Linked DNA regions of Drosophila melanogaster. Changing the gene in region 1 together with any one later gene gives a genetic interaction. Each region holds a gene or a part of one and is shown on either strand. Other genes may lie near its edges. The genes, in order: c(2)M and Nipped-B.

The links.
Region 2: of c(2)M (region 1) and Nipped-B, changing one suppresses a phenotype caused by changing the other (phenotypic suppression), as found in Drosophila melanogaster (one study listed by BioGRID).

The regions. Positions count from the first base shown.
Region 1 is NT_033779.5:16,300,962-16,306,440, forward strand, and holds c(2)M (crossover suppressor on 2 of manheim), read left to right. Parts: upstream 1-2,302; 5' UTR 2,303-2,390; coding exon 2,391-2,521; intron 2,522-2,600; coding exon 2,601-2,764; intron 2,765-2,820; coding exon 2,821-3,101; intron 3,102-3,160; coding exon 3,161-3,344; intron 3,345-3,398; coding exon 3,399-3,783; intron 3,784-3,835; coding exon 3,836-4,143; intron 4,144-4,201; coding exon 4,202-4,336; intron 4,337-4,393; coding exon 4,394-4,518; 3' UTR 4,519-4,979; downstream 4,980-5,479. Other genes in the region: CG17328 (uncharacterized protein), read left to right, coding at 1-647; GMF (glia maturation factor), read right to left, coding at 1,116-1,244, 1,300-1,490, 1,557-1,650, 1,810-1,812; CG5861 (uncharacterized protein), read right to left, coding at 4,998-5,359.
Region 2 is NT_033778.4:4,725,733-4,730,806, reverse strand, and holds the start of Nipped-B (Nipped-B), read left to right. Parts: upstream 1-1,789; 5' UTR 1,790-2,028; intron 2,029-2,255; 5' UTR 2,256-2,307; coding exon 2,308-2,374; intron 2,375-2,455; coding exon 2,456-2,627; intron 2,628-2,682; coding exon 2,683-2,798; intron 2,799-2,853; coding exon 2,854-3,013; intron 3,014-3,072; coding exon 3,073-3,959; intron 3,960-4,018; coding exon 4,019-4,183; intron 4,184-5,074. UniProt on the Drosophila melanogaster protein: Plays a structural role in chromatin. Involved in sister chromatid cohesion, probably via an interaction with the cohesin complex.

The DNA.
Region 1 (5,479 bases):
GCGACAAGCCTTTTCAGTGTGAGATCTGCTCAAAGCAGTTTTCCGCGTTAGGCAATTTCCAGGCGCACCAGAAGATTCATTTAGGAGTGCGGGATCAGGTATGCTCGCTATGTCAGAAAGGTTTCTACACCGCCGGTGATCTCTCCAAGCACATGATAACCCATACGGGCATCAAAAACCATCACTGCGATGTCTGCGGCAAGGCTTTCAGCAGGCGAAGAGATATGCGGACTCATAAATTGAAGCTTCATCCTCTGGAGTCCAGTACAAACCATGATATAGTGGATGATGATGATGATGAGGCTATAGACACGGATCCCGTGGGTCTGGACACCCTCGATCACGCCCACTTCAAGTGTCCGGATTGCGACAAGGCATTTGATACGGCGGACAGCCTAAGTCTACATTTTCGCACGCATGCGGCGAATAATAATCTACTGAATTTGCCGTTGCCTCCTGCACCACCTATGTCGCATCACTACCATCACGATGCACTGCATCATCTCGGCCCACCGAATCCCGCCACACAAATGGGAATGGCTGCAATGGCTCACATGTTGGCACCGCCGCCGCCTCCACCGCCAACGCCAAGTGAAGGACGTTACACTATGCTGCACCACACGGCGGCACAAAGACTACATTATTAGAGTATAGCTACGAAGATTTATCTTAATCATAATTATTGTTTTAGATTATGTTTTGATATTGAACACTTTTATTTAGTTTGTCTATATAAAATGGAATATTTTGTCATGTTTGCTTTTATATCTTTACAATAAATACATGTAGAAATTTGGCAAGCACAGCTTCTATTAAGATTATTACTTAAATGCAAGAACTAAAATCACTAAAAACTCCCCGCGCGTACTTGTCGCATACTTGTCGTCGATATAAAAATGTCATTGTTGTATAAACTAAGCTTGATTTGTGTTTTCTGTAGGTAAAAATTGTAGTATCTCAATATTGGTTTGTTTGGTATTGGTATGCATCGTTGGTATCGGCTTAATCCAGTTTGAATATGTATATAAAAAGCTCAAAAATCAATCAGAGAACTATCATAAAATATTGCTTTTGACAACGGCCCGGATTGATTGATCCCAGAGATCGAAACCTCTCTACTTGAGCTTGGCTTTCAGCCACTCCTCGGTGAGTTCGTCTAGTTCGCGTATCTCGTAGACGCGTGTGAGATCTACTTCGCGCTGAAGAGCGCTCTTCGTGCAGGCGTACATCATCTGCAATTCGATCTGAAACAGAGAGTTATGAATTATAGAATATATTTGAGCATTGCTAAACTCCCACCTGGCTATCCCTGGGTGTGTAGAATATGAAGCACATTGGGTACGAAATGCGCTGATCGTCATGGACCATTTTATACGTATAGATGACATATCGGGGCTGGTGTCCTGGCAATGTATCCTGCAGCTCGTCCACCGAAATATCGTCGATGAACTCGTCCAGCACCACCGTTTGCTTCTCCCGGTCGACTTTCACTGCAAGGGACAATGGAGTGGTCATAAAAACTACACACATCTGTTACCATGACAATCAAGGCTTACATATCAAAGCCGCATTATTTTTGCTCTTGCTGAATCGAAACTTCTTCAATTCCTCCAGAACTTCGTTGCTTATGTCGCATATCTGGTTATCACTCTGTATGAAATCGATATAATTGATTAATGAATTGGAATCACCAAAGTTATCTGCTAACAACAATCGTCGATTGAAAAACAAAAACAAAAACACGCCCACACTCTATTAGTCATGTTTTCATTTTGGTAATTGATTTCCGACCCTATATACACTTCCTACCATAACTTTAGCTATGAAGTTAGGGATGCGATCTGTAAAGTGTGCTGCACTACCGAATTTTTGGCAGTTAATTGTAGGAATGCAATATCACTTGTCCTTAAGGAATCGTTTAAATACTGTCGTTTATTCTGAGTTTTGTTTTGTTGTTCCTGCAGTGAGACCGTTCACTGAACGCCAAATAATATTCTGTGCTGCATCAAAAATATGTGAAGTGTTGTTAAACGACGTTTCTGATAAATTAAAAAATAATAACAATATTTGCTAAAGGTTTTTTTTTCATTAAGCTTTTTTCTTTACGGCAACATTGGTATTATTTATGGAATTTATTAAAAATAATTGAAATGTATTTTTTAGATTGAAATAGGAACGCTCTTTTTTAAAAATGTTTTGTAGATATACTTAAAACTTATCATTATTTTATAGTAGGTAAAAATCGTTCGTATACGATATTTGGATCATGTTTGTCCTCTCTAGTGGCTGATGGACTGTCAAAAAAGTACCGTTACTTTAGGGTTGTTACAGAGAGCACTAACTTATAAATAGTTAATACTATAATCTATGTGCTTAATGTCGTAGTTACAATGAGCTTGAATTTATATGAGAGCAACATCCTTAATTCCTGCTGGAAAGCGGGAGGGCGCAAACCGAGGAAATCGGCATTTGGCCAACTTAATCGAAATGAGATCGCTGATGTGGATGTAGTCGCCTGCTGGTAATTAAATATTAAATATAATGAATTTTTTTAACATTTCATTATATTCAATTGTTTTCAACATTTATCTACATTTCAGCAAGCAAATCACCGAATTAATTGAGGAAAATGCATTAAGAAAACGCCAGAAACGATCCAATGTTTTGGCCGCAAGAAACCGGCAAAATGTTATTTTCAAGGACATTTCCCGCTTGGTTTTTGGAGTTGCGGATATTTTTAGATGCCAAGTGGATCTACTTTTGGGTAAGTATTAGTCCGAATATTACGTAACATTGATATATAATCACGAATTCTTACAGGGGACACGAAGGTATTACTTGACCAATGTACACGTACCAACTTGGATTACGTTCTCACCACAACAAAATCCGTAGTGGTCAACAAATCAGAGATTCGAATCCAACGCAAAGGAAAGCGGGTGATCACCAAGAAATCTAAAGTAACAGTATCAAAACGTCCCAGACTGCAGGAATCGGATCTATTGGATGAATTCTCACATGAATACTACGAGAAGATGCTATCCGAATGCCAGATGTGGCAAACGGAGTGCACACAACAGGTGGTGGAGGACCTGAACGAGGTTAGTCGTCAATATACTGTTGGACTGCTTCCTTATATGATTTCATTTTTCGCAAAAAGTCTATTGAACAACCCCGGAGTTGCACTCAGTCAAAGTCGTATCATTCCATTACAATCACCGAAGAGATTGAACTTCCCGAAGATCATAGCTTAATTATGCCATCAAATGGTTTTGGCGAAGCCGAGGGCGCGGACTTAACCATTTTTCAAGAGCTTTACCCCAAAGATGGCACACGGAACTCACGTAAGAATTCTCAATTCAATTGAAAATGTAATAAACTATTTTTTTGTATTATAGTAAAGCGACACTCAATAGCTCAGGATCCAACTGACATCTTACCGGATAAAATGCCCAGATTGGATGATTGCGATGTTTTCCAAGCTGACAATGCTATCATGACCCAAATCTTTCCGCATAACATTGAACCAGCTGAAGTAACTCAGATAGTTTGTGAACCGTCGTTGCCATCCGTTTTAAATTCTTTTGGAGAAATAACATTTAGCCACCCGAAAAATCGGAAAAGAAAGCTAATAGTAGACAAACGAATTGAATACACCCGGGAGCAGCTGGTGAAGCATAGACAGAAATATATGGAAGAATACCTTTCAAGGAATGTGATAGTGCCAAAATCCTCGGATTTACGGAAACCCCCTAAGGAACTTCTCTGTAAACTGTATAATAAGTAGGAGCCTTATACATTTTGCTATTTAAAACTTTTTAATTTTTTGATGTAGTGTAAGTTTTTTAGCTCTTCATAACCACTCCGGACCTAAGCTCAGTAATGAAGAAAAGGAATTCGAGGCAGAAAACACATTGAGAACCATATTTGGCTGCGAGTTTACCGAGAATCTTTCTAAAGAGATATTTGTGCGACCATCGCAGGCTACAAAATGTAGGGATAAAGCGGCACATATCTATCAGCCCGAACCGCTTGAAGTGGAAGACTGTGTGCAACCTCAACTTCAGCCACGTGATGATGTAAATCAGAATTATCATAATGAAATGAATGAGCACGGCATATACCGTGAGGATAATCATGATGGTGAGTTCAGCCAATGTTTACAACATGCTATCGTAAATAAAATATAATCTCATTGCAGATACCTACAGCGTAATGATGAGTCTCTTAAGCATTTGGCGTAATAATCCGAAAATCACGGGAATCGATGCCATTGATTTTATAAAAACGTTTGATAGTCGCATCAAGGCTTCGTTAGCCTTTCTCCATTTGTTGTGTGAGTTCGAAAAAGAACAAAATGTGTGTTGGAAATAACGTATAGCTTAAATTTCAGATCTTGTTCGAGACCATTTTATAGAGATATCAAAGCGAGCTAATTCGCTGGAAATGTACCAAATTACTCTTGGCAAAGAGTCCGCTAAGCTAATAGACAATCTTATGCTGAGTGAGACTCTGTGAATATTTTTAGATAATTTTTTTCAAGATTACCAAACAACTTTGTAGTTGACAATCTTCCACATTTTTGTTGTTGTTTTGTTTTCTGTTATTGCTATTGTGTTATAACATATAAGTTGAGCCAATCTCTAACCTAGATGGCTTTAATCTACTCTTTTTCCATACAATCTTATGGTACAATTGAGCAACGATGTCCTGGATAATTCGTTTCATTTCAAGAATTGAAAAATTCTATAGATGTTACTTGTTGCTGTCTATAAAAATAGTTTTTTTTTCATTATCATATTAGTTTCGTGTACCCATTAAAAGTTGTTTGTTATCTTTGTTACTATTACGTTATCGTAGCTATAATTCATTAACATTTGGAGTAATTCTCTAAACCGTAATTGTTGTCTTTGTTACAAAATCTCAATTTCTCTGACAACACCAAAAAATAAACAAGTTACAAAAACAAAGGAATACAGAGTGTTTGGCACAATTGCTTAAATTCCGATCTGCTGGGCCAGACCCGAATAGATGTGCAGCGTGCAGAATCCAATGACGGCCGCCACCAGCGCTTTAACAGCCACCGTTAGCCAAGGTCCAATGGTCAGAATGTGGAGCATGCCCTCCAGCCAGACGCCTTTGAAGACAGTCACCGCCAGAAGTAGACTAACCAGCGGCTTTAATGCCTTGTTCAAATCGTGACGGGTGAAGAGCCAGATCAGGGTGGCCGTAGTGATGTGCTGCACCAGAAGCACGTTCGATTCCAGACACTTGAGGATGTAGATCCAACTGAACTCGGTGCCTCGGGCACCCACCCACAGCATGATACCTCGGGAAAGAATCACTTCGGCGGTGGCCCCTGCGGAAGTATACGAAAATATTTAGTTTTTACTAAATTTTTGGAAGTTGTCATACATATATGGGTTGGGGTATTAAAGGTTGAGTAGGCATTGGCTCTTGTAACATTAATATATCTGAA
Region 2 (5,074 bases), on another chromosome or scaffold:
GTCCGCGCGGCTGTGAAGACTTCATCATTTAACATCGGTTTCGCAGGATTTCTGGGCCCACCTTTGAACTGGAAACAGTGGAAGTGCCCACGGAGACGAAGTTCTCCCATCGAAATCGTCTCTATGTGGGCAACCTGACCAATGACATCACCGACGCTGAGCTACGCGAGACGTTCAAGCCATACGAGCCATACGATTAGCGAGATCTTCTCGAACCTGGATAAGAACTTTAAATTCCTAAAGGTCGACTATCATCCCAATGCCGAGAAAGCTAAACGCGCCCTGGACGGATCGATGCGAAAGGGTCGCCACGATTCGCACCGAATGTCATTTTGCGGGTGATTTTGCGGAAGAAATCTCACACCGATACTTAAAACCATCGATAGTATCGATAGTTCCATCGATGGTTTTCCAGCTCTATTACAAACAATAATACCAACTGGGTCTAGTTTAAGAAAATTTCTGTTCCCACACTGAACTTTGCTCCTGAATTGTGTTTTCACTTGACGGACCCACGCGTCCGCGTCCTGACTTTGAGACTCCCGCCCATACACTGCTCGACTACCCTCGTGCACTTATTACTCACTACATGCTTTAGCTGCCTGGTCCAGAGGCGCTGCTGCCGTCTATAGGCTGTTTTATTTTCCCGTTACGCACGGCTCGCTAGAGTCCAAGGTCCACGTGTCCAGTAAACACCTTTACCGTTCGACCTCTGTGCCCTTGGCCGGTCTCTCCGCTTTACCGGGGTCCAAGGTCCAATCTTCAGCGTTTGACCTGACTCCTCCCGCATTACTGCTTTCTGCTCTGTTCTCCTGGACTTATTGTGAGTTTTAAGACCCCTCACAGTATTGCTGTTTTGCAGCAGGGGAGAGAAAAAGAATACGTATGCATATACGATATATACGTTGAGTATGCCCTAAGCCTTTGGTAAGCGTGGAAAGGCTGATTATGCATTTATATTTGGTGGCCGTAAATTGGGTGCCCACCTCCGCCGAATCCGCCTACCGACTCATTTAGTCTCCCTTTGTGAACCGGTATGTGCGCGCTTTGTAAGCAATTTTTTTAGGCCAATTTTTTTCACACTCTCGCACACTCAATGTAAGGTAAGTTTTTAGTAAGTGAGCAAACATGCTCAATAAAACGACGCTATGTGGCGCTTTTCGACTATAATTCGATTGATCGAGCTCTGCAGGTACCGGCTACGAGCTCCACATTTATTGCCAATTGTTCTTCAATCGTTGAATTATTAATTCACAAAATATTTCTCATGTATGAGAAGGACAATTGACTTTACCAAGACGCAAATTTGTTTTAAGCCTGTAGAAAATAATTTTACGTATAATTGCACAAAAAGGTAAGGTAATCATATATCATATATCAATAATTTGTTTTCCCAAGATCCATGATCTGGAAGAAATGAACTAAAACAAAATCGATTTATTCGCATACAATTGCACATCCTTGAATATTCATATCTTGTAAGCATACGCATTTCATATGGAAAAAGAGATTATGCGATATCGGTTGTTTTGCCGTTTTGAACGGCATTTCCTAATGAAGACCTTTTTATCGACTCGTTTTCACTGTTAACATTTATTGAAATAAGTATCGGGACAGGAGAAGTAGCTTCAAGTCGGTAATGCCCTAAATTGCAATAAAACATTTTTCTTTTAGAAATATCTTTCAAACATCCAAGCTCTCTACGTTTTATTGAGTTGGTGTGTAACTACATAGTCTGGAAAGGAGTATTATATATGAAGTATTAACGTTTCGGTCTGAAAAGGTATTTTTTTATTAAGTTTAGCGCGGCCACACTATCCTACAGGTCGGCCATATTCTTCAAACACTATTTCGCAAACTAAAAAATTACAAGTACTTATTATTGTAAATGTATAAGTTGGTATTTAATTAAAACGCAAAGGAGAACCGGAGTAATTCGTTTATATTGAACTGTGGCAATTCGTTAATAATTGTTGATCGCAATAACATAACGGTAAATGGTAATGCTACCGCAATTTTTTTAACTACGTAAGTAGTTGTTTATTATAAATCAATTTAAAGGGATTTATCTAATAGATTTTTAATTTATAAACTAAAAAGATAAGATAGTACATAAAGTGACTTATAATACAGCTGGACAACATCCATATATTTTAATATATTCATATAAACATTGTTTCCAATTACATTGTTTATCATGTTGATGAAATAATGTTTGGTTGTAGCGTAATGAATAATAGATTTATTTTTTTTAGCTCCTAGAATCAAAGTTGTGTTGTAATCTATCGGATTATCCTTACATTTAATATGGGGGAACGTGACAACCCAACCGTACCTGTAACAACATTAGCTGGTTTAACCAGCACTTCTGATTGTAAGTATTTTCTGTGCAAGAAAATATAATGTGTATGTACAAGTTTAAAAACTTTTAATATTTTTCTCGTTTAAATGCAAGTGCTAAGCGAGCTACCAGTGGCGGATTCGCTCCAGAGTGCTGCGTCCTTAAATAAATCTTTATTGTTCCATGCTTTGGTAGCTAACGAGTCTAGCAATTTACTTTCTATGCGAAACGAAAATCTAGTTCGACAATTGGTAACTGCCATTGAGAGAACAAACTCCGATAATATGTTAGTTGTTTAATTGATTGTATGTTTTGCTTTATTAAAATAACTTGTATTTTAGAGAGTTAATACATTGCCCAGTTCAAGACACAGCAACTAACTGTAGTACTTATCCTGAGCTTCTCCAGGGAATATATCATTTTCGCCCAGCGGTTTTTAACACTTCCATAAAAATACGTATGTTTTAATAATAAAAGCAACCATTTGTGTATTACATGAATTTCATCCACAGACTCTCCGGACCAACATACTGCTAATGCTCGATTAGAGGCAAAGAAAATGCAAATTGATTCCTATTCAATACCGGAATGTTATGCATCACCAACAAATTTGTCGATTTCAAATGAACATCAATTGCAAGACGCTCAAGCCTGCTTCAATCAGCTTACTAGGTGGCGTATATATTTTATTATTCTACAAGCCTTATATTTAATGCATTTTTCTGTTTTAGTATGACCTCAAAAGAAATCTTAGAAGAATTTTCACAAATAAATTTTAAGGAAAATGCAACAGAAAAAGATAAAATTGACGTTATTGAAAATTCAGATTTAAATGTGACTAAGATACTTTCACAAAATACTCTAAAAAAAAAGTCTAACACACCAGAAAGAAGTACGGTGCAATCAATACAAGAACAGTTTTTTATTCAGCAACAAGAAGCCAATTATAATTTAAAACATGATTTAAACCAAGTATCAACAAATGTTGGTCAAATTCAAAATATTTCTGATACTTTTCCCCAAGAGCCGTCAAATTTTAATTTAAATTCTGTAAATATCCCAAACATGTTATATGTACAAAGTCCACCTTTCACTGAATCAGAACCAACTCAAGCACACCACTCTTCAATTGAATATTTAAAAAAAAAAAAATCACAAATTCTTGACGTCAGCATTTTAAATCGACAACAGGTGTTAGAAAATACCAGCTTACATATTATTAATAAAAGTTCAACGTACCAAACGAACCAAAATGTATCAACAACTACATCGACATCTACTTCCTCAAGTGGCAAGTCCCAGGTCCGGGTATGTATAAATCGCCTTAGTATTGAGGATTCTCGCCTTATGCAACAGAGTATTAAAAAGTTTGTACAAAAGTCACCAGAATTGGCTAGAAGCATGGGGTTACTACAAGAAACGTGCCAGCAGCAACATGAAAACTTGAATATTATACCCACGAGTGCGGAAGAATGTGTATTAGAGAGTCGTGCTTCCAGTACAAATAATACAGTCAAAATCCCTATTGATACATTTTCTACTATAAAAGCCGATGAAAAACGATCCGCGAAAAGAAAACTTGCCATATCAATTGGTGACATCCCACCGGAACAAATATGTAAGTAATGAGTAATAATTTCCTTATACAAAAATTAATTGATCAAAATTATATTATAGTTTCAAAGCCTAAAATGCGTCGGGTCGAAAGAATTACACCTCTTTCGAACACAAAGTGTGTGAAGGAGGAAGTCACCCGTTCGCAAACATATCAACAATTTATTCGAAACATGGATCACATAATTGAAATATTAGACGATAGTGAATCTCCTAACTTTGACTCAGGTAAGTTCAAATACTCTGTTAAAGCTAGAGAATATTTATGAAACTTTAAGACCTATTATTAATTAGTTCGATTAATTGACACTTATGTTTACAAATATTTTTACCCGTTACTCTTAGAGTAAAGGGGTATACTAGATCCGTTGAAAAGTATGTTACAGGCAGAATAAAGCGTTTCCGTCTATATTAAGTATATATGTATATCCTTGATCAGGATCAATAGCCGATTCGATCTAGTCATATCACTCTGTCCGTATGAACGTCGAGATTGGAGGAAATATATGAACTAGAAGGTTGATATTCAGCATTCAAATTCTAGAGACAAAGATGCAGCGAAAGCTTGAATGCATTCCCCAATTAATATTGATGCAGCGAAATTGATGCAGCGAAAGCTTGAATGCATTCCCCAATTAATATTGGGGAATAAAATGAGAAATGTTTTTTAAATTGCTCTAAAGTGTGTGGTTGACCGGTTTGACAGCTTTAGGGCGTTAGAGTGGGCGTGGCAAAAAGTTTTTGGCAAATCGATAGAAATTTAAAAAATTAAAAATATGTGAAAAAACAGGAACATACTAAAATCGACTAAATACAGCAATTTCGTTATCTCTAAAGCTTGCCCTATAACTTCACAATACTATTGAGCTAGGCTTACGACTATATTTTCTTTTTCATAAGACGAAGGCTGTCCACAGAGTTTTTATTGGTGACAAATCTTGTCAATATATTCCGATTTTTTGCCAACTTGGTACTGGTTTAAACCATCAAAGGAATGCCAGCTTTGATCATCTGGATGATCCGTGTATTTCTTTAACCCTCTTGATTCTCCTTGTCATGGGTTAGCTGAAAGGTTACTGAGGTACTTAGGAGGTAGTTACAGTTTTAAGTCACAGTTTT